Danio rerio: one gene and its partners. Each later gene encodes a partner of the first gene's protein in a complex. Links are inferred from orthologs where the notes say so. Each region holds a gene or a part of one and is shown in the gene's direction. Other genes may lie near its edges. The genes, in order: taf8, taf6, taf11 and taf10.

Evidence for each region.
Region 2: taf8 (region 1) and taf6 share a complex: the UniProt entries of both Homo sapiens proteins name them as parts of the TFIID basal transcription factor complex. The link is inferred for Danio rerio from reciprocal best matches to the Homo sapiens genes TAF8 and TAF6.
Region 3: taf8 (region 1) and taf11 share a complex: the UniProt entries of both Homo sapiens proteins name them as parts of the TFIID basal transcription factor complex. The link is inferred for Danio rerio from reciprocal best matches to the Homo sapiens genes TAF8 and TAF11.
Region 4: the proteins of taf8 (region 1) and taf10 are in contact, whole or in part, in a crystal structure (PDB 4WV4), measured with the Homo sapiens proteins. The link is inferred for Danio rerio from reciprocal best matches to the Homo sapiens genes TAF8 and TAF10. Residues at the interface, in NP_612639.2 of Homo sapiens: Arg33, Thr36, Leu37, Val40, Ser43, Leu44, Leu45, Ala48, Gly49, Phe50, Glu51, Ser52, Ala53, Glu54, Ala56, Ser57, Thr60, Leu61, Met64, Leu65, Gln66, Tyr68, Ile69, Ser70, Ile72, Gly73, Arg74, Ala76, Lys77, Cys80; in NP_006275.1 of Homo sapiens: Pro115, Leu116, Phe119, Leu120, Leu123, Tyr126, Thr127, Thr129, Ile130, Pro131, Val134, Thr135, Tyr137, Tyr138, Leu139, Ala142, Gly143, Phe144, Glu145, Ser147, Asp148, Arg150, Ile151, Leu154, Ile155, Leu157, Ala158, Ala159, Gln160, Lys161.

Annotation. Positions count from the first base shown.
Region 1 is NC_133198.1:35,334,313-35,339,874, forward strand, and holds the start of taf8 (transcription initiation factor TFIID subunit 8), read left to right. Parts: upstream 1-1,906; 5' UTR 1,907-1,976; coding exon 1,977-2,024; intron 2,025-3,867; coding exon 3,868-4,027; intron 4,028-4,661; coding exon 4,662-4,760; intron 4,761-4,892; coding exon 4,893-4,955; intron 4,956-5,039; coding exon 5,040-5,164; exon of another isoform or gene 5,165-5,562. UniProt on the Homo sapiens protein: The TFIID basal transcription factor complex plays a major role in the initiation of RNA polymerase II (Pol II)-dependent transcription.
Region 2 is NC_133180.1:58,922,421-58,927,847, forward strand, and holds the start of taf6 (transcription initiation factor TFIID subunit 6), read left to right. Parts: upstream 1-1,775; 5' UTR 1,776-1,949; intron 1,950-5,427. UniProt on the Homo sapiens protein: The TFIID basal transcription factor complex plays a major role in the initiation of RNA polymerase II (Pol II)-dependent transcription.
Region 3 is NC_133198.1:379,691-384,991, forward strand, and holds the start of taf11 (transcription initiation factor TFIID subunit 11), read left to right. Parts: upstream 1-1,544; 5' UTR 1,545-1,893; intron 1,894-2,932; 5' UTR 2,933-2,997; coding exon 2,998-3,156; intron 3,157-3,242; coding exon 3,243-3,388; intron 3,389-3,487; coding exon 3,488-3,575; intron 3,576-5,097; coding exon 5,098-5,194; intron 5,195-5,301. UniProt on the Homo sapiens protein: The TFIID basal transcription factor complex plays a major role in the initiation of RNA polymerase II (Pol II)-dependent transcription.
Region 4 is NC_133183.1:27,708,268-27,712,266, reverse strand, and holds the end of taf10 (transcription initiation factor TFIID subunit 10), read left to right. Parts: intron 1-456; coding exon 457-614; intron 615-703; coding exon 704-768; intron 769-2,091; coding exon 2,092-2,206; intron 2,207-2,303; coding exon 2,304-2,393; 3' UTR 2,394-2,575; downstream 2,576-3,999. UniProt on the Homo sapiens protein: The TFIID basal transcription factor complex plays a major role in the initiation of RNA polymerase II (Pol II)-dependent transcription.

The DNA of each region.
Region 1 (5,562 bases):
GTCGGGCCGAAAGTCCCTCATCAGTAAGGAATCGAGGCTGGGAAACCAAGACGACAATCTTGTGTTGCGATTATGGACGTGATGAGTGAATCTTTAGCTGGTGAGGCAGTTGAAAATAGCGACACCAGCGTGATGGCCGCCCGCTGAAACGACTTTCAAAATAAATGCCCGACAACTAAACCTTGCTGTGGAAAATATACTTTGCAAATGTCAATGTGCACCAAATACACCCCCTCCCTCACACACACAAATAAAAAATAACTTTTTTTTCTGTTTAAATAAACTTTAAATGTAATATGTTAAGTCATATTATCATAGAGAAGTACAGATAAAGCTGTTTTTACAGACAACAACATAAAATCAGCTGCTGTTAACACCGCAGAATTAGTTATTATTGTTATATATTTATTTTTCAAAATCTAGATTATAGAATATTAATATACCCCTAGATAAATAGTTGCAAAGCATTTTTCACAATACACACACAACTATATTTACACTTCTTTTTATTTCCTACATCTAAAGCAATCGCTGCAATAAAATGAATTATTTGAATTACTGTTATGATTTCCAATCTTTAGAAAATAGAATGACACAATATTTATTTATTTAAATCAATAAATATAAATTTACTACAGAAATATTGTCATTTGAGATTGCTTCACAATGATACATTTTGATTGGCAAATCTGACCTTTAACACATTAAGCTAAACCTTCTGCCCCATATGCAGAATGCAGATCTACCGGATATACTAAGACACAATAAAGGAGACCAATTTTGCTTCATAATAAATAGGCGTAATGCATTTCTGTGTCCACAGAATGTGCAGCTACAGCTCAAATTAAGCTACAGATCATTTATTTTTTTATGTCATGCTGCAAAAAAAAAAATGACCCAAAAAATGTGCATCTCTTTAAATGCAAATGAGCTATTTCCAGAAGAAAGTGGGTCCTTTACAGTCTTTCTCAGATATTCTCAAGACAAGACATTGTTTTGGTTTTATCATGTCTACTGCACTTATGTGACATTTTAGTTCATCATCATGATGAAAGTTTATTATCCTCATCCGTTTTAAAGCCTTGTTGGTCTGTCTCGCTTTGTCCACTCATTTCAAAGCATTTGTGGTATCAGCCTTTGCTAAGCAACCATCATCTGTGCTCTCCATGGAAAATTTTTATTTATTTATAATTTTTTAACATGAAAAGATTAAAAGATAATTGGGCCTGACTCAGCATGAATGCTGTTTTTCAGCAGATTCCTGCTCCGCAGAACATAAAAACACACAGACACCCATTAACATGTCAAATTATATGAAAAATACATAAAATAATATAATAATTTGGTAGCATTAAGGTCTGAGGTGTTTGTGTCTACTCCCACGATTCAAATATTATAATAAAACTAGGATTAAAACTGATTTACCTAGCTTTTGTACCTCGTTTTCAGGTCAGAACTTAAAAATTAAATCTTCTGTGTCAGTTTACCGTTTTACTAAAGAATCATGTAGAAAGCAAGGATGTGAACATTTTGTTATCTAAAAGACTTGACATTTCTGTAAGATGTTCGACATTTAACTATTAACATTAACAGCTAGTTCGTGTGTGATGGTTCTTTTATTCAAATCATTAAAATAAAAATAAAGATAACATATTTAGAAGTCTTTAGAATAACTTAATAAAAGTTTTATGAGCATGCTACAATACCGTATTGACGATGACTTCAAAAAATGCAAATTTCTACTTTTGCTTTCATTTTTAGGAAATGGCTATGCAACAGTTATTTCTTTGTTTGACTTTTATTTTGGAATTGCACAGAAAACAACAACCTTCCGGTCGCCCTGTTGGAAATGTTGATAGGGTTGCCATTTTCGCCCAATATAAAAACACCAAATACAGTTTTTAGCAAACGCAGAACGCACAATGAGTTTATTTGCGAATGCTAAACATCAGAGGAAAAACCACTAGAGTTCTAAAATGGCAGACTCGGTAATGATGGGGAGCGGATCTTTAAACTCCGGAAGCGTACGTTAAATATCTCCTTTCATTAACGCTAACGTTACTCTTTCCTTCACCCTGCTGGCTCAGCCAAACAATACTAACTTTAGTTTTTTGATCAAAATTAGACTTAAAGGCACTTGTGTAATATATTTTAAAGCAGACACCGTATCGTATGTAAACACGTCTGTATATATATATATATATATATATATATATATATATATATATATATATATATATATATATATATATATATATATATCAATTATATAGTGAGCTGTTGCAGATCAGTGTCGTCAAACAGTGTTTTATATAACTGGTAAACGTCTTGTTAAAGCCGAAAATCACAAACTTTACTGTACTGCAACTGTACAAACTCAATTTTCTCCCAGCAGGAGTTTTCTATGAAACAATGCTAATGTCACTCATAATGACAAGTTATTGTGCATGGAGAATTGGGTTAGCATAATATATTAACAGTAAACTAGATTATTGACAGGAATGGGCAGTTTTACATACCATAATTTAATACCACACTCTTAATGCAATCCACAGTGGAATAGTAATCTTAACCAGATTCTCAGATGCAAAAATGAATGCAATAGATGCATTTTTGCCTCAGTAATTATAAGCACAGCCTTACAAAATCCCTAACTTTTTGTTAAGGATCCATCCATAAAAAATAAAAAAACATTAACAAAGATTGAGGTAAAGGTGGCTTTATATTCACACATTCAGACTTTGTCCTTAATAATATAAGTTCAGAAACATGTTGTTTGCAAATTCTAAATAGGGAAATCCTATTAGCAGCAGTGATAATGTTGTTTTGAAGTCATTACCTAGCTAAAATTTTACCCAATACTGTTATGTTATCGTTGGCCATGGAATTAATTTAAACAGGATTGGTAAAATACGATGTCTTCTATTTGCTGGACAAATGGTAGATTTAGTAGGTAAAGCTTTTAATCTGATTCAGTTTGACTCAATTGAGTTGAATCAAGTAATTCAGATCTTCAAGATTTGGTTCCTTTAAATGACCTAATAAATCCCTGACCAATGTTTTAATATAGGTTGATCCCTTACACTTAATAATCAAAGTAGCATGGAAAACAATATAGCGACTCACAAGTTGTCACTTTATGAATGTGCCATATAAAACCAACTTAACTAAGCAGAAATTAACTTAAAATCACATACGATTCCACAATGTGAGTTATAGTAATTTCCAGTAAAGTAAATCTACCTCAAAACGTTTTGATTTTCATAAAAACTTAATTACATGACTAACTTTTCCATTATTTTTTCAAAGTTTTATATTCATGAGTCATAACTAGGGCCAGACGGAATCTGCAGATGTTTTTTGCTATTTCTGCTGAGATTTTTGGTAAAAATCTGCGGATTTCTGCAGAATTATTTTGGGAGTATCCAGCGGAGTATCAAAACTAAAACCTTAATATATGAAACAAAAAGTAATAAATTACTGAATAAAAACTGAATAAATTTAGATTTACACATTTACTCAAGTAAATAAACAGAATTAATGATGGGCTAAAAATCTGCAGAAATTCTGCGGAAAATCTGCGCGCGCAGATTTCGTGTGGGCCTAGTCATTACCACTAAATACAATTCCTCTTTCTTCAACACTAATCTTAGAATAAACTTTGAAACCTTTTAAAAACTCAGAAGCTTACAGTATAGGAACCATACTAATTGTAAAACATTTCAAATAAATGCAGTTCATTTAGCCCTAACTTAATCTCTTTTATTGCATTTTCAAAGAAATGCCTTGCTGTATTAAATGCAGATATGTTTTAAAACTTCCTGATCTGTAAAACCTTCTTATCATCTTTTATTTTATTATTTCCAGCGCTCGGGGAGCAGTAAGACCTGCACCAGTCCCACAGAGAACTATCAGCTGGCTCGGAGACGCACGCTGCAAGTGGTGGTCAGTGCTCTGCTGACCGAGTGTGGCTTTGATAGCGCTGAGAAAGCTGTTGTGGAGACACTCACTGAGATGATGCAGAGCTGTGAGTCCTTCATTTACTTTAAGCAGCTCATCTTGACAAAATTTAAAAGCTTATGCATACCAATATCACAAATCATCGCGTTTTACTTTTTACGTTTGTGTGTATTTGTATGTAATTTATGGTTCTATGTTCTAATTTAACCACAGTTTGGGAACCAAAATTGAGCTATAGTTGAATAAAAGCTCACAAAACAATACAATTACTTTACACTTTTCTGTACATTAGAATGTGTCTATTTAAAAATATATTAATCTGAGCAAATAAATTATCACTGAAATGTCAATAAGACTAATATTGTATACACTAAAAAAGTTTTTTTTTTTTGTCAGGCATACAGTATTTAGAAAAGTGTAGCTCCCAAAAATTTTAATTATTGTCATTTTAAATCTTTTTACTTGTTCACTATTTATTTAGATTACTAGTTTACTTATTTGTCTGCTAAGTTATAGTTTATTAATAGGTCATAAATGGATAAATACATGTTTTTGTGTGTCTAGTATGACCATTTATTCTTAAATATATTTTAATAAGTAGAGCTCATGTTTGCTCCGGTTTCCCCCCACAGTCCAACGACATGTGCTGTAGGTGAATTGGGTACTTTTTGATTTTTAAGAGTCTTGTTGTCTTTTGATAGATATAACAGAAGTTGGACGTTGCGCAAAGGCAAACTGTGAGCACACAGCCAGAAGCACCCCTACTCTGTCTGATGTGGTCATTACTCTCGTCGAAATGGGTTGGTTTACTTTCAATGTTAGGACAAATTAAAGATTCAACTTCTTTTTTAATATATATATATATATATACATGGTTTAGTCATGCTAATGAGATTTAGGCTAATCCTGGATTTACTTTTCCACAATCGCAGGTTTTAATGTGGATACTCTTCCAGTGTACGCCAAAAGATCTCAAAGAATGGTTATAACAGCACGTAGGTCTCTATTATATCTAAATATTTATATTTTTCTGCTGTAACTGTTCCTGTTTTAATTGGTAACACTTATGCATTTCACAGCTCCGATAACAAACGCTCCGGTGGTACCAAAATCTCTGACGGCTGGACAGAAACGCACTCACCCGGCACACATCCCCAGCCACTTCCCTGATTTCCCAGATCCTCATACATACATCAGAACACCAGTGAGTCTTGCTTGTGTCACTCACCTGATTCGGTTGTTGTGTATTGTTTAGCTCAACAATTGATAACATTATAGTTATAGCTCTACAGAATATATGAAGAGTTCAAATGAAAAACCCCTTAAGTGCCATCTGAACTTTTTTCGAAGCCTCCTTTGTTTATGTTGCGTTATTTCACTTTAAAGACCATGAAAATGACTTATTCTTTGCCATAAAAGTGATATTAGTAAACCTACTCACCGAAGCTTGTTAAAAATGCTAATTTTAGAAGAAAACTTTTGATGCCATTTAGAGGTTTTTGCATCTGAACTCTTCATATGCATCTACTGATATATAAAACTGCTCTTTCACTACTGTTAGAATAACTTCTAGTAGGACGAGAGAGTCTATATCATTGCAAA
Region 2 (5,427 bases), on another chromosome or scaffold:
CGTTACCATTTATATATTATATATACTTTTATATATATATTATATATATATATATATATATATATATATATATATATATATATATATATATATATATATATATATATATATATATAAGTTTGCATTGTATGCATTCAAATTGTTTATCACTTATTGTTTCATAATATTTATTGTTACCATTTTTTACAAAGAAAAAAATTAAATATGCTAAATATGGGAAAGTCAGGATCGCAATTTGTAGCAACAAATAACAAAAAATGTTAAATAATAATGACTTGGTAATTTGTTATACCTTAAGTTATAACTCTTAAATCATAAATCAAGTTAAAAAATATATTTTTATATGTTTTGCATAGGTCCAGATAATATGTAAAATGGCATGAAATGCTTTTTTTTTCTTTTCATTTTCCATTCCTCACTTTTCTGAGGATTAAGAATTTTTAGATATTTGGACTAAAACCAAATCAGAAACTCTTAAGTAAGAAAAGGATTTTTTGCAGAGTATTTATACACATTTTTTTTTTTTTTAGTGAGCATTAAGAATTTTATGCAAGGATTCAGCTTCATTTAAAGACAACTGGCAATCTCTAGAGATATTGTTGTCAATAAATAAATGTAAAAAAAATCTAATGTTGTCTAGGTTTTTGATTGTCAGGTAGCTAAATGGTCCTTGAAATTTTAGAAAGTAGTAAATTGTTTGTCTAAACGTTCTGCAGCTGTCTGGTAGTCAATACCACTGCATTCTTATCACAGCACATCATTACGCCATATTACACTGTATTGTACGGTTATAATTGTGTTATTGTCAAAATGCAACTTTATATATAAACAATACAACAAATTTCATCTCTCTATATAAAAGCGTATAACTAGGCTACAATTAACCATTACACTTTCCAACTATTTGTGTTTTGAATTTTTCTTATTAGATTAATCTAAATTAATTTGCCAGTGGGCTTTTGCATAGCTGAAATTGTTTGGTGAGTGTATCAGTTCTGCATATTCTCTAGTGAGTTTATAACTCACTTTCTGATAAATTAACTTAGCGTTCTTATTCAGCGTAATCTAATGAAAAAAAAAAAAAAATATATATATATATATATATATATATATATATATATATATATATATATATATATATATATATATATATATGTGTGTGTGTGTGTGTGTGTGTGTGTGTGTGTGTGTGTGTGTGTGTGTGTGTATTTATGAACAGGACATTTAATAATCTGGGAGAGTAGACTTCAAATGTATTGTTTGGCCATGTATCTTCCATCCCCCCTACTGGACGCATTAGGAACAACAGCGGCGTAAAACTGTGGCGTGTAAAATTGCCTGAGCCGTAAAACTGCCTAGATCCAAGTCTGCAGATGTCCCATATAGGGGTCTGCAGCTTCCCCTTACTCGCCGCTTCACCCAACCCAACAGCAGGGGCACTGTCTGGTCTGTCTGTGCGCGCTAGTCTGAGCGTGCAGTTGGGTCTCCGGGCCTGCAGCTTCCCCTTACTCCACTCGGGCGAGGCGGTGTGGTGAGAAATCGAGTCCCCCTGCAATCGATTCCGAGGCAGTCTATGTCATGAAAGATGCATAAAAATGAACCTATATACACTGCTTCTTCTGCATTAAATATTTGCTGAATAATTTGTAAAACGTTCATTTATAACTATTCTTTTATAAAGTGTGTTTAAAACATGACGCTAATATGAGCTTGTAAAAATATACGTGCGATAACGTCACATTTGTTTTAGGACCTTTCAGCAGATTCAAAATGGCGAATTTTCGGAAAAATGGTTCGGAACTAAATGGGCTGTGCAAAGTATTAACAAACCAAACAAACAAATAAAAACACAAAATTCGTATTATATAATACAGAGGATTTACCCGTTTTGTTTTATTGTTTTCAAAGCGGCAGCTTTAAATAGACATAGCTGCAACCTCCTTTTGAAGGTAAGAAAGACATGCTGTTCACTTTTGCTTTTGTGCACGTTTATTACAGAGAAGCATGATCCAGTCGTACATTAATAGCCTTTCGACACACACACACACACACACACACACACACACACACACACACACACATATATATATATATATATATATATATATATATATATATATATATATATATATATAAACAACGCAGGTTTATGTAGCGGTAACGCACAGACAACGTAGTTTATTTACTTCTTTACTTCTGAGTATTTGATCAGTAACGTTAATTACATGGTCTCAAATAAGCAATGCAAACTCATATTGATTCTAGTAGAAATACTAAACTATTTTATAATTTAGAGTTTGAGAATTTATAACAGGGCAACGCTGTGGCGCAGTAGCAAGAAGGTCGATGGTTCGAGCCTTGGCTGGTTAAGTTGGCATTTCTGTGTGTAGTTTGCATGTTCTCCCCGTGTTCGCATGGATTTCCTCCGGGTGCTCCGGTTTCCCCCACAAATCAGGTGAAATGGGTAAAGTAAAATTTTCTGTAGTGTATGTGTTTGAATGATAGTGTGGGTGTTTCCCAGTGATGGGTTGTTGCCTGAAAGGGCATCAGCTGCGTAAAACATGTGCTGAATAAATTCGTGGTTTAATCCGCTGTGGCGACCCCTTAATAATAAAGGGACTAAGCCGAAAAGAAAGTAAATAAATGACTGATCTTATAATACATAGTAATAATTGGACATTTTATAGAGTTATTATAGTACTTTTACGATTCCTAGTAGGATGCAAAGCTGTTCTCTGTTAAGAAGTGTAGCGTTACGCAAGTTTGGGAAGTTTTTCTTTTTTTTTTTTTTTTTTACAAAATACATGCTTTAAATAGTTATCAATATTATACATTTTTATTTAGCAACTTACTCGAAATACTTAAGAATATGCATATTTTAAGCTAATTAATACAAATAAATAGGATTCCATGCAGTTTTATGCTGCATTCCAAGCTTTAAAACGAATCCAAATACACAGACACAACTATTCTAAAAATAGCCAAAACAACCATCATAATTCTTCAAGTTATAAAAAATAATTGGGTAATTTCTACAGAAACATCTATTTTTAGCATGGCAATTCAGACAAGATGTTTAAACATTTATTTCTTTTTTAACATTTAAACTTAGACCACATTATTCAATTTCTTTTTACAGAAGGATATCCAGGACAATTTTTAATATGTGGATGCATAAATTTTGACCCAATCCAAATGTAATAGCAAGTTGCACATTTGCAATTGCATTTCCACTTTTGTGAACGCGCAGTGACTGCCACATTTCAAATAAAAAAAGAAAAGTCCATTTGAAAAATGCATTTCCCATGTCTTACGAGCTATGGGCCTGACATATCTGAACAGCTATATTAATTGCTTCACTTTCTTTTTTATTAAGCTAGAAACAAGAAAAAAAATGACAACATAAAATATTTGCTTTATCACAAACTGTAGTAGCATTATTGGTAATAAATATTGAGGCAACAGAGGCAACGTATATAAGCTAGCTTGAAAAATTGTTTATTAAATATAGATTGTATAATTTGAAAACATGCAGTAAAATCATAATGGTTTTACTTTGCAAAATTATGCTACATACAGTACATGTAAATCACACTACAAGATGGCTAGTAGATGGAGCTTACAGATCAGTAATAATCCCATCATTATGAAATTTGCTGAATCACAAGTATATTGAATTAAGCCCATTTATACATAACGTTTAGATGTTTGATAACTGCAAATAATGTCAGCATATATTTTGCTAATATTTTCAGATCTCTTAAAACAAACTACAAAAAATCGTTGAAACATTATTAGGCTACTATGAAACTTAAACCCGATTATTAATTAATTAATTCATTCATTCATTCATTCATTCATTCATTTATTCATAGTCTTTTCGGCTTAATCCGGGGTTGCCACAGCAGAATGAACTGCCAACTTATCCAGCACAATTTTACGCAGCGGATGCCTTTTAGGCTGTAACCCATCTCTGGGTAAAGCCTGGTTTAAACTTCTGCGTTAAGTGACCGGCGTGACCCACGGCGCATGCAACGGGTGTAGCTGTGCATTTATACTTCTACGCGCTGTCTCTTTTGATCTGAATTAACACTTCCGAAACGCTAGTTGGCAGTAAGGTGTTTATGTTCCTCTGTGTTGAAATTCTTCTCTGCTGTTTTGCTTTTCCTGAACACTTCCTGGATGTACAAGTGGCTTAAACTTGCTCATTTTGAGGCATCTTTTGTGCAGTCTGGGATTTGAGAAAGAGATGCGCGGGCTTTAAAGTGTCACGAAACACCAAAACACGTATTTTGAGCTGTTGACAGTCGTATATGTGTCCCACACTGCTAAAAACACTATTAGGACACCTATATTTCACCAAAAAGTGTAAATTGGTTGTTTTTGCGTTATTTTAAGCAAATTCGTACTTCCGGTTTGAAACGAATTTTTGAAGCTGCGTCACGGTCATGACATAATAGCGTTGTATTCCAGCGTGCAGACTGGGCGTCTGTGCCAGAGTGTGTCTTGTTACGTCTTACAGTGTGATGCATTAATGCATGAGTAAAGCTTGGTTCAAACCAATCAGCGCGCTCTATTGTGGAACTTTATTAATATTCATTACTGTCGTAGTGTTCAGACGGCAGAGACGCCACGTTGTGTTGGCAAAACAAGCGTGAAGTGTTGCTTTTATATCTTGCTGCCGTTAAGTTTTGTTTTCATTTTCTCTCTGTGAGAGCTCATCTGGATCACGCGTGGATTAACAGTGTACGCGACGCTCGACAACAATAACTTGCGTGTCTAAGGAGGATTATTGTTTACCTGAGAGCTGTTCTCATCTGCAAACGCTGAGATCCGGATTCGCTTGTAGTATTCTCTTCATAAAGACGCGGCTCTAGTTGCTGGGGATTGTCCTGTCTCTACAGATTTGGTAAGTGAGCGACCAGTGCTCTTTGTTTATTCAGTTTGTTCGTATCGAACTAAGTTAACTATTGCACCGAGTGCAAACATGTTAGCACCACAACCAAACTTTACCCTCGTGTAGGGTTTTTACGGCATTTTGTGACCAGAATAACACACGCGGCTTTCTGACGCTACCTGCCGTGTGCATCTAAGTTTCTGGAAAATGCTGAGTTTTTTTTCTCTCATTCGCCGTGCGGTATCAAACATTGCATGAAAAATACACGCTTAGAGCAGTTCCTCGAATCAAATATCTCGTTTGTCGCAAGAGGGCATGAATGAATTCCCTGAATGAAAGAGCCAAATTGCAGTTAAAGTCCACCATTTAATAATTCGACTACAGATGTCCATGTAGGGTAAATACCATCACTTTCTCCTGTGTGTGAGTATTTTGACTAAAACTCGCGCGTGCCCAAATAGACACTCCCACACCCTGCCACTTTAGTTCCTCAGACACTCCCCCCTAAACAGAGCTGGACACGCCCACTT
Region 3 (5,301 bases), about 35 Mb from region 1:
GAATCACTATAATGATGTGCACTTTTTAATATTATTGCATATCTTTTTCTACTCAAGATAATAATACTGTAATTATGTTTATTTTAGTGTTTTATTTACTTTTGTTTCATCTATATTTTATTGTTAATTTTAAACTGATTCGTCTGTTTGAATGTGATGTCCATTTACTGATTTATTTATTATTCATTCATTCTTTTATGTTCCTTTGCCTTAGTCACTTTATTCATCAGGGGTCGCCACAGCGGAATGAACCACCAATGATTCCAGCATATGTTTTACACAACGGATGCCTTTACAGCTGCAACCCATCACTGGAAATTATCCATACACACTCATTCACACACATTTTTTAATAAAAATAACCCTGGGTATAATTACTGTTTACACAATATTGTATACATTATATCAGTTCCCCTATAGCGCATGTGTTTGGACTGTGGGGGAAACCGGAGCACCCGGAGGAAACCCACACCAACACGGGGAGAACATGCAAACTCCACACAGAAACACCAACTGACCCAGCCGAGACTCAAACCAGAGACCTTTTTGCTGTGAGGCCACAGTTCGTATGAATTATGCGTATTATTATTGTTATTAATAGTGGCTTGAAAATTAGGTTTCAAGTAGTCAAAATCATTTTAATCAATTTTAAAATAAAAGAAACAATTTGACTTATGTAACCTGACCATGCTAAAATAATCAGTGCAAATATCTATTATTTGCATTGTATATATTAAATTATATTTATTATTAAAATGAAACAAATAAGTAATTAATATTTGATTAAAATAAATAAATAAATGGGCAATATATTCAAACAAACAAATCAGTGAAAAATAAAAAAATACATTTACTCAAGTTAATAAAATAAAAAAGTAAACAAATACTCCTTATGGACATTTTAGGTACATATCGTTTAGTTGAAATGGGATAATTTGAAATAACATCATTAATTAGCCTATTATTATTATTATTATTTAAATATAAGCATAAAATTTTAACTATATGCAAGGGGTACATTTAAATAATTAAATGTGATTTAATCATTTGTGAATATCTATCAAATAAATATATAATTATGAATAATTAAAGGGTTTCTGCAATTAAACTAAAAGCTCGAGTGAATTTTGATGGATTAAATCAGTTATTAGTCCCTGTTTGTTTGTTTGTTTGTTTGTTTGTTTGTTTGTTTGTTTGTTTGTTTGTTTGTTTGTTTGTTTGTTTGTAACTGTAAGCACAGTGTTTATGTTTCAACTATTTATAATGTTTAAAGTGGCTGACAATAATAAATATTCGTATTAATAGGAATTAATCTGCCTTGTTTTTGAACTGTGCAGAGCTGCTTCATTGGGCCTACTACACTTCTGCATTTCAGTACTGCTCCTTATGGTGGTTCTTGAAGAGACATTTTTTCTGAGGTGGTCCTTGATGAAAGAAATCTGAGAACCGCTGCTTTAATGTATAGTATTGTGCGCCACCAAGTGTTTGACGTGGCTGTGCACGCTTGTGCGGACTCTTATTTTGTAGTTTAACCGGATATGCTCGTGTTTACTTTGTCGGTCTGAGGCGCTCGTCAGAGAACACTCGTTGGATTTTTGTGTTTTTAAACATTATTTTCAACGCGGTTGTCGGTCTTAGGTATGTTTTGATTTTTTTTATGAATTCACGGTTTTATTTTGTCTAACAAGTGTTAAATCCGGCCCCAAATACACATAGCATCGTAAGTTACGATGATCGTTAAGTTACCGTTTTCACCTAAAGTAAACTATCATTACATTGAAGATGACCGAGTGTAACGTTAATACAGCTAATGCACATTAGATAGAGCCCTGTTTAATCGCGTTGTTTACGATCAATAACAATGATATATGGGGACTTAATGGATATTTAGAGGTAAAGTAGGTTTTATATCCGCACACTGGTGCATTTAGCAGTCTCTATATTGTTTAGCATGTTACTCTGAATATTGGATCTGAATTAGCATGCAAGTATGACTTGTAAACAACATTAACACTGTCTAATTGACTGTGAACAATGCTGTACTTTGATAGTCATTTGCTGCTAATATCATTTCCCTATTTACAATACTTTTCTGACATTATATTGAGGAGAATGTCTGAATATCAGAATATACAACCAACTTCACCTCTATATGTTTTATAGAAGACACAGACTAAATTATAAACTGTAATGACAGTATTGACATTGTAAGCAACAGTTCACCCTAAAATTACAATTCTGTCATCATTTACTCTTGCTTTACTTGTTTTAAACCTTTATGAGTTTCTTTCTTCTGTTGAACACAAAAGAAGATGTTTTGAAGAATGCTAGAAGCCGGTAACCGCTGACTTCTGTAGGGTTTGTTTTTCCTATTATAAGTCAATGGTTGCCTGTTTACACATTTTTTCCCCTTAAATGTTCCTTAAATCTTTTTCTTAATTTTGTAAACCAACAACAAATTGCTCTCTCTTTTCAAAGATTGTATATTATATAATTAAATATTAAAATCAAATAAATAATCATTTGATTAGAATAATTAATTAAATACATGTGCATTAAAATTATATATGTATATATATATATATATATATATATATATATATATATATATATATAAACATTTTTTAAAAATTGTAATGAATGGTTGCTCTCTTTTTTTGTAATATGACAATTTGTTCTACATAATTGCTTTTTGTAATCTTTGTAATTTTTTTTTACATTCAATAGTATTCATCCAGAGTAATTCTTACAAAAAAAAAAAAATATATATATATATATATATATATATATATATATTGCAATCATGAAACACAAGCAAGGCTTCTTGAGATATTTTAGATATTTGGACTAGAAACAGACACTCTGAGTTAGAACAGTGTTATTGCAGTGCTCAGTTGTAATTGGATCAGGGACTCCCGCTCATGTGTTGCAGATAAACACACTACAGCAGTGTCCATTATTTCCACATTCCCTTTCCCTGATCCATCAGCTGAAATCATGGCAGACCCGGCCCGTGTGAAACCTGAAGCGGGCACATCGGTGGACAGACCCAAACCGGGCGAGGGGTCCAGTGAGGGTCCGGAGGGCAGCAGTAAGAGCTCTGACCCTGCTGCGGGACAGACTGCTGTAAAAGAGGAGGGCAAGACGCTCAGTCAGGTCTCTGCCTCTTCATTCTGCATCCTCAATGAATTCAGTTTCATTCTCATGCAAATAAATCAACCATGCATCACTGTGTTCCTCAGAGGCCTGCTGAAGATGCTGGTGATGAAGAGGAGGAGGGATCTTCATCTCTGCATCCTCCTCCTGCCAAAAAGCTGAAAGTGGAGCCGCACGACAAGAAGAAGGAGAAACGCCACAAAGTGGATGAAGACGAAATCCAGAAGATGCAGTGAGCTGTGTGTGTGTGTGTGTGTGTGTGTGTGTGTTGTGTGTGTGTGTGTGTAGCTGTAAACTGATAATAACACTAATAGACGTGTTTGTGTTTCAGAGTTTTAGTATCATCGTTCTCTGAAGAGCAGCTGAACCGCTATGAGATGTACAGGCGCTCGGCGTTCCCTAAGGCAGCTATTAAAAGAGTGAGTCTTTAAATTAAAAACAGGTCTTAAAAAGAATTCAGAGTTGATCAATCTGTTTAGAGAAAGTATTAAAGTCTTTTACAGCTGGTAAATATTGTGTCTGTTTGGATTATTCAGTGTGTGGCTGTCTGCCTAAGTTTAATTTGTGAATATTGGGCAACATGGTGTTGCAGTGGGTAGCATAATCGCCTCACAGTAAGAAGGTCACTGGTTTGAGTCTTAGCTGGGTCAGTTGGTGTTTCTGTGTGGAGTTTGCATGTTCTCCCCGTGTTGGCGTGGGTTTCCTCCAGGTGCTCCAGTCCAAACACATGCGCTATAGGGGAACTGATTGTAGTGTATGCGTGTGTGTGTGTGTGAATGAGTGTGTATGGATGTTTCCCAGTGATGGGTTGCTGAATACATATGCTGAAAAAGTTGGCGGTTCATTCCGCTGTGGCGAGCCCTGATTAATAAAGGGACAAAGCTGAAAAGAAAATGGCAGCATTGTTATTCCTGCAAGAAGGTCTCTGGTTTGAGTCTCGGCTGGTTCAGTTGGGGCTTCTGTGTGGAGTTTGCATGTTCTCCCGGCATTCGTGTGGGTTTTCTTCAGGTGCTCCGGTTTCCCCCACAGTCCAAACACACGCGCTATAGGGGAATTGGGTGGGCTAAATTGTATGTAATGTGAATGAGTGTGTAAGAGTGTTTCCCAGATATGGGTTGCAGCTGGAAGGGCATCCGCTGCGTAAAACATATGCTGGATAAGTTGTCGGTTCATTCCACTGTGGCGACCCCGGATTAATAAAGAGACTAAGCTGAAAAGAAACTGAATGTTATTCCTGCTGGTCTACAGGCGCCCCCTGCTGGAAGTCCATCAATTCTTTCATATTGAGTGTGAGTGATGCATTAGTTTAGGCGCAGGCGTGTCATGTAGCATCATTTCACTGAAACAGATCATCATTTTTAATGATTCAGGCTGTTTTTATATCATTAACTGCCCACACTAATGTTGATTAAATCTTTGTGTGGATGATGATGAAAGAACAGTTGTAGCCTGTGATGGAGCAAATAAACAGATCACTCCCACCGTTCTGAATTATCTTGCATTGAAAAGCGAGTTAGCACCAGCTAAGACTCTTTAGTTATGCGTAACTGCACAGTCTGTGTTTGGTAACTATACTGTACGCTAAAATGTGCTCAATATTACTGGTTAGAACGAATCAATTCTTCAATCGAGAAGCGTTTTCTAGACAAGAATCAAACATTTTCAGAAATAATGAGTCAAAATGAAGTGAGTTTTTCATTAAAACAAGCAGAGTAATCTTGTGTCAAAAGGCAAAACAAGATTATTTCGCTCACTCCTTTGATTTGCAGACTGTTTTGCTTGTTTTAACTTCATTTTGACTCGTTTGTTTGTACAAGACGTGAGTTGAATGCACTATATACACCATTATACCTCAAAATAGCACAGAATAGTGCATGAGCGTGTGATTATCGATGCATCTTCTTTGTCTTGGAGTTAAACAGATTTCTTTCTGTCCTCCAGCTGATTCAGTCCATCACCGGATCATCGGTCTCTCAAAACGTGGTCATCGCCATGTCCGGAATCGCCAAAGTGTTTGCTGGAGAGATTGTTGAAGAAGGTTAGTGACACGCTGCTCTGCAGACACTCTTATTTGTCTTGTTTCTAGTCCAAAAGCTAAAGCTCAAACTCTTCACCTCAATCTGTGTTCAGTAAATGTGCTGTAAG
Region 4 (3,999 bases), on another chromosome or scaffold:
AACTGAATTGAAATATTGAGCAGTGGGCGGGTTTTATTTTTGTGCTCCTGTCATCTTTCACTTGTGGCAAACTTAACGGTTGAAGAGGTGTGGCTAAGCATCTTTTGCTCCAATCTGTCAAACTGACGTCATCAGAGAAGAACTGCCATAACAGAGCAGAAGCAGATGGTCAGATTTAGATTAAACTGTTCCTCTTAAGTGGATTAACTTGCACATATGAATCGTTCACTTTGAGACTAACAATCTGCGCTAGCAAAATAATCTATGGAAATTTTATTAAATGCAGACTTAAGTAGGGAGGGATTAAGGAAAGAATGAGAAGAAGAATTTTTTGTTAGGTTGTAGTTTAGTGCTCATGAAAGAGAAGTTTTAGCTGCCTTTTGATTGTTGCCTGTAATGTCAATTGTTGTTTTATTGCCTTAAATTGTCTGTTATACTTACTTTCCGCCCTCAAAGTGTCTACTTCGGCTTCCATGGCAACCCCATCCTCCGACTCCACTGTATCAAACGGCGTGTATGTGCCCACAGAGATCGCCAACGGAGACGTGAAGCCTGTGATCTCAACTACACCACTGGCAGATTTCCTCATGCAGCTGGAGGATTACACTCCTACAGTGAGCTCCCTTTTGTGATTTGTAGTTTATTCTTTGGTTATTAATGATATTTTATGAGTTGTACTGCTAACAAACTGTCTGTGCTTCAGATTCCAGACGCAGTTACAGGATACTATCTCAACAGAGCTGGATTTGAAGCATCAGATCCAAGGATGTGAGTTCGGAATAAGAAAGCTTTCTCTCAGAAAGCTGTTGGGTCAAATATGATAAAAGCACTTTAAATGTATGAAAGATAAACAAAAACTCTTAATACTTTAGTTTATTTATCGGTTTCCACGATTTCACTACTGGCTTATTAGCTGCCTGTTATTAAGAGATTGGCAGTTTATTAGTACTTCTAAAGTATGATCTTATTCTACATCCCTAATCCTACCCAATACCTAAACCCAACTTCTACCTTACTAACTATTAATAAGCAACAAGTGAGTAGTTTGAGCTAAAAGTGTTAGATAATGGGTTGTTAACAGCGAGAATTGTACCTTAAAATAAAGTGTGTGTAAAATAAAATGTGTAAAGTGAACATGTAATAATTTTATAATTTCAGATTTTCTCAGAATTTTTGCTTAAATTGTTTAAAGATGCGATTTAGGTGTCATGTTCATCAGCTGGAAAATTAAAACTATCCAAAAGTTGTTCCAACGTTTTTCTGGGTTGTTGGACGGGTCTTTGATCGGGGCTCTCTGGGGGCAGGACCAGATGGCTGCCGCCTTTATCGGACTATATCCACATCCCCTGTTCCCATCACCTGTTGCGATGTTATGTCTATGTGTTTTTGTGCTCGTGCTGGGGCTTTCTTTCCCCTGATCTTACACTGCCCTACTTCAACGGCAGTCGGAGAGGGTTTTTTTTTTTCACCTCCCTTTTCCCTAATATATTTTATTTCCTCTTTCTAAAAGCTACCTTCCATTAACCTGTCTTCTCCTGAATTATGTGATGTTTGTTTATGGTCGGGGTGGTCCAACTTCACTGCATGTAAAAGTGTATGTGGCAGGCTGTTTTCATCATCATCATTATACAATTTGTAAACCTTTAAATGGTTATTATGCTCCGGTTTTCCCCATAAGTCCAAAAACATGTGCTGTAGGTGAATTCAGTAAGGTAAATTGTCTGGAGTGTATGTGTGTGTATGGACGTTTCCCAGTGATGGGTTGTAGCTGGAAGGGCATCCACTGTGTAAATCATGTGCTGGATAAGTTAGCAGTTCATTCCGCTGTGGCGACCCCAGATTAATAAAGAGACTTAGCCGAAAAGAAAATGAATAAATGGTTATTATTCTTAGTATGAACAGGAAATAAATATCACATTTGTCTAATGTAAAGTATTGCATTTTTGTTAGTCGGTAACAAGCTAATATTGAAAATGCTATCTTAATATAAAAGGTTGGTGTTAATTTTTTAATCATAAAAAAACATGCTTTTATATCTTCATAAACCCCTCATGAATCTGCCTTTACATCATGTCCTTGTTTCTTTGCCAGAATTCGTCTCATATCTCTGGCATCTCAGAAGTTCATCTCTGATATTGCAAACGATGCACTACAACACTGCAAAATGAAGGGCACAGCCTCTGGAAGCTCCCGAAACAAGGCCAAGGTTTGTGCGCACAATGCATTTTAGAATGACTATATGTACAATATAAAAAAAAACTTGATCTTTAAATCTCACATGTTATAATCATCTCACTTTCCAGGACAAGAAGTACACTCTGACGATGGAAGATCTGACACCGGCTTTGGCAGAGTACGGCATAAATGTTAAAAAGCCTCATTATTTCATCTGAGAGCTTCATTCTAATGGACTGCTGGAAATGTGCTAATTGTCAAGATGAGAAACATCAGCCCACTTGCTTTTAGGGATTTAGCAGCTTTTTTGTATTTTTGTTAAGCCTGACTGAGTTATATTATGCCACATGACTTAGTTGATGCCAGTAAAAAATCTTGTATAAATAAATTCATTACAATACAATTCCTGTTTTGGTCATCAATCACTGTAAATCAATCAATCAAATACTGTAAAAAGAAGTCTTAAATTAACCACTGTAAGGCTTGTGATGTAAGTTCATACACTACATGTATGATCTTCTCATCTTCGCTTTATGGGTTTAGTTTCATGCCATAAGGAGCTGGAGCTGTAACGTGCTGCAGTATTAATAGTACCTGAAGGACCTGCTCAAGTTTCTCGCAACAGTCTAATACAGCTGAGACCAATCATCATGTCTTCAGAGAAAACATTATATAAATATAAGAATATTATTAGAATAGAATCGATCTTGACTTTGCTTCTTTCAGTTGCTCTATGTGCTCTCAGGCGAATTCAATGTAGGTCACAAAAAGGGTGATGGGGATTCATAAGAAGTATGCTAGATTTTTTTTAAGTTGCTAAAACAAATAATTTTATCCCGGTTTATTGTTCGGTGATTATAAGTAAGTCATATATGGGTCAAGATATCGAAGCTGTTCACTTGGGTCTGTCAATCACTGTTCAGTTTGACTAATAGCGAAAGTTTGGGGCGTGGCTATAGCAGCAGGTGGGCCTGAGGATGATTAGCTAGTCGGAGTCTGAGGCGTTATCTGGGAAAAGAGATTAAAAGTGCGATATAAAATGTACTAAGTTACTTGCCAAACTACGCAAAGATATACAAAAATACATGAATAGTGGTGGTGCTTTACAAGACAGAAGAATTTGAACTGTGTTTCATTTGAGACTTTTTCACAGGTAAGCTAAACTCTTTGTTACAAAGCATTACATGTTGCCACTTTACCGCCAAACCCCATTTCAATTGTTAAGCCGTGTCAGTATACGATAGTAATAAGACAAAATGTCAGCAGCATTTGCAAGGATTGTATATAGTTTATTTTTTGTAATCCCACTAGGAGGCACTAGTTGAGCAGAAACGGCATAATATACTTCAGTGGATCTCAAAGTTTTTTCATCGATCAAGTACCACCTCAGAAAAAAATTGTCTCAACAAGTACCTCCAAAATGACCAGTATTGAAATACAGTAGCATAACTACTGACTAAAAACGTCAACATTTTAATTAAAATGTGCTTTTAAAAGGTAAAAATTAAAGGTTACTGTTGTTAAAAAGTAAAAAAAAAAAAAAAAAAAAACTCCTGTAAAGTATTAACATAGTAGCCTATTTATCAACACCTGGAAACATAGGCTATATGTCATCATATTCATATTTAAATCATTTTTTAACATATTTAAATCATTTTTGTACAAATGACATATTTGATTCCTCCGCGTACCACTAGAAGGAAGCCCAAGTACCACTAGTGGTACACGTACCATAGTTTGAGAACCACTGATATACTTCATTTTGTTCAGTGATCAAAAGCAGTAGCCTAAAGTATATTTGAGAAAAAGTGGAATTATATGTTA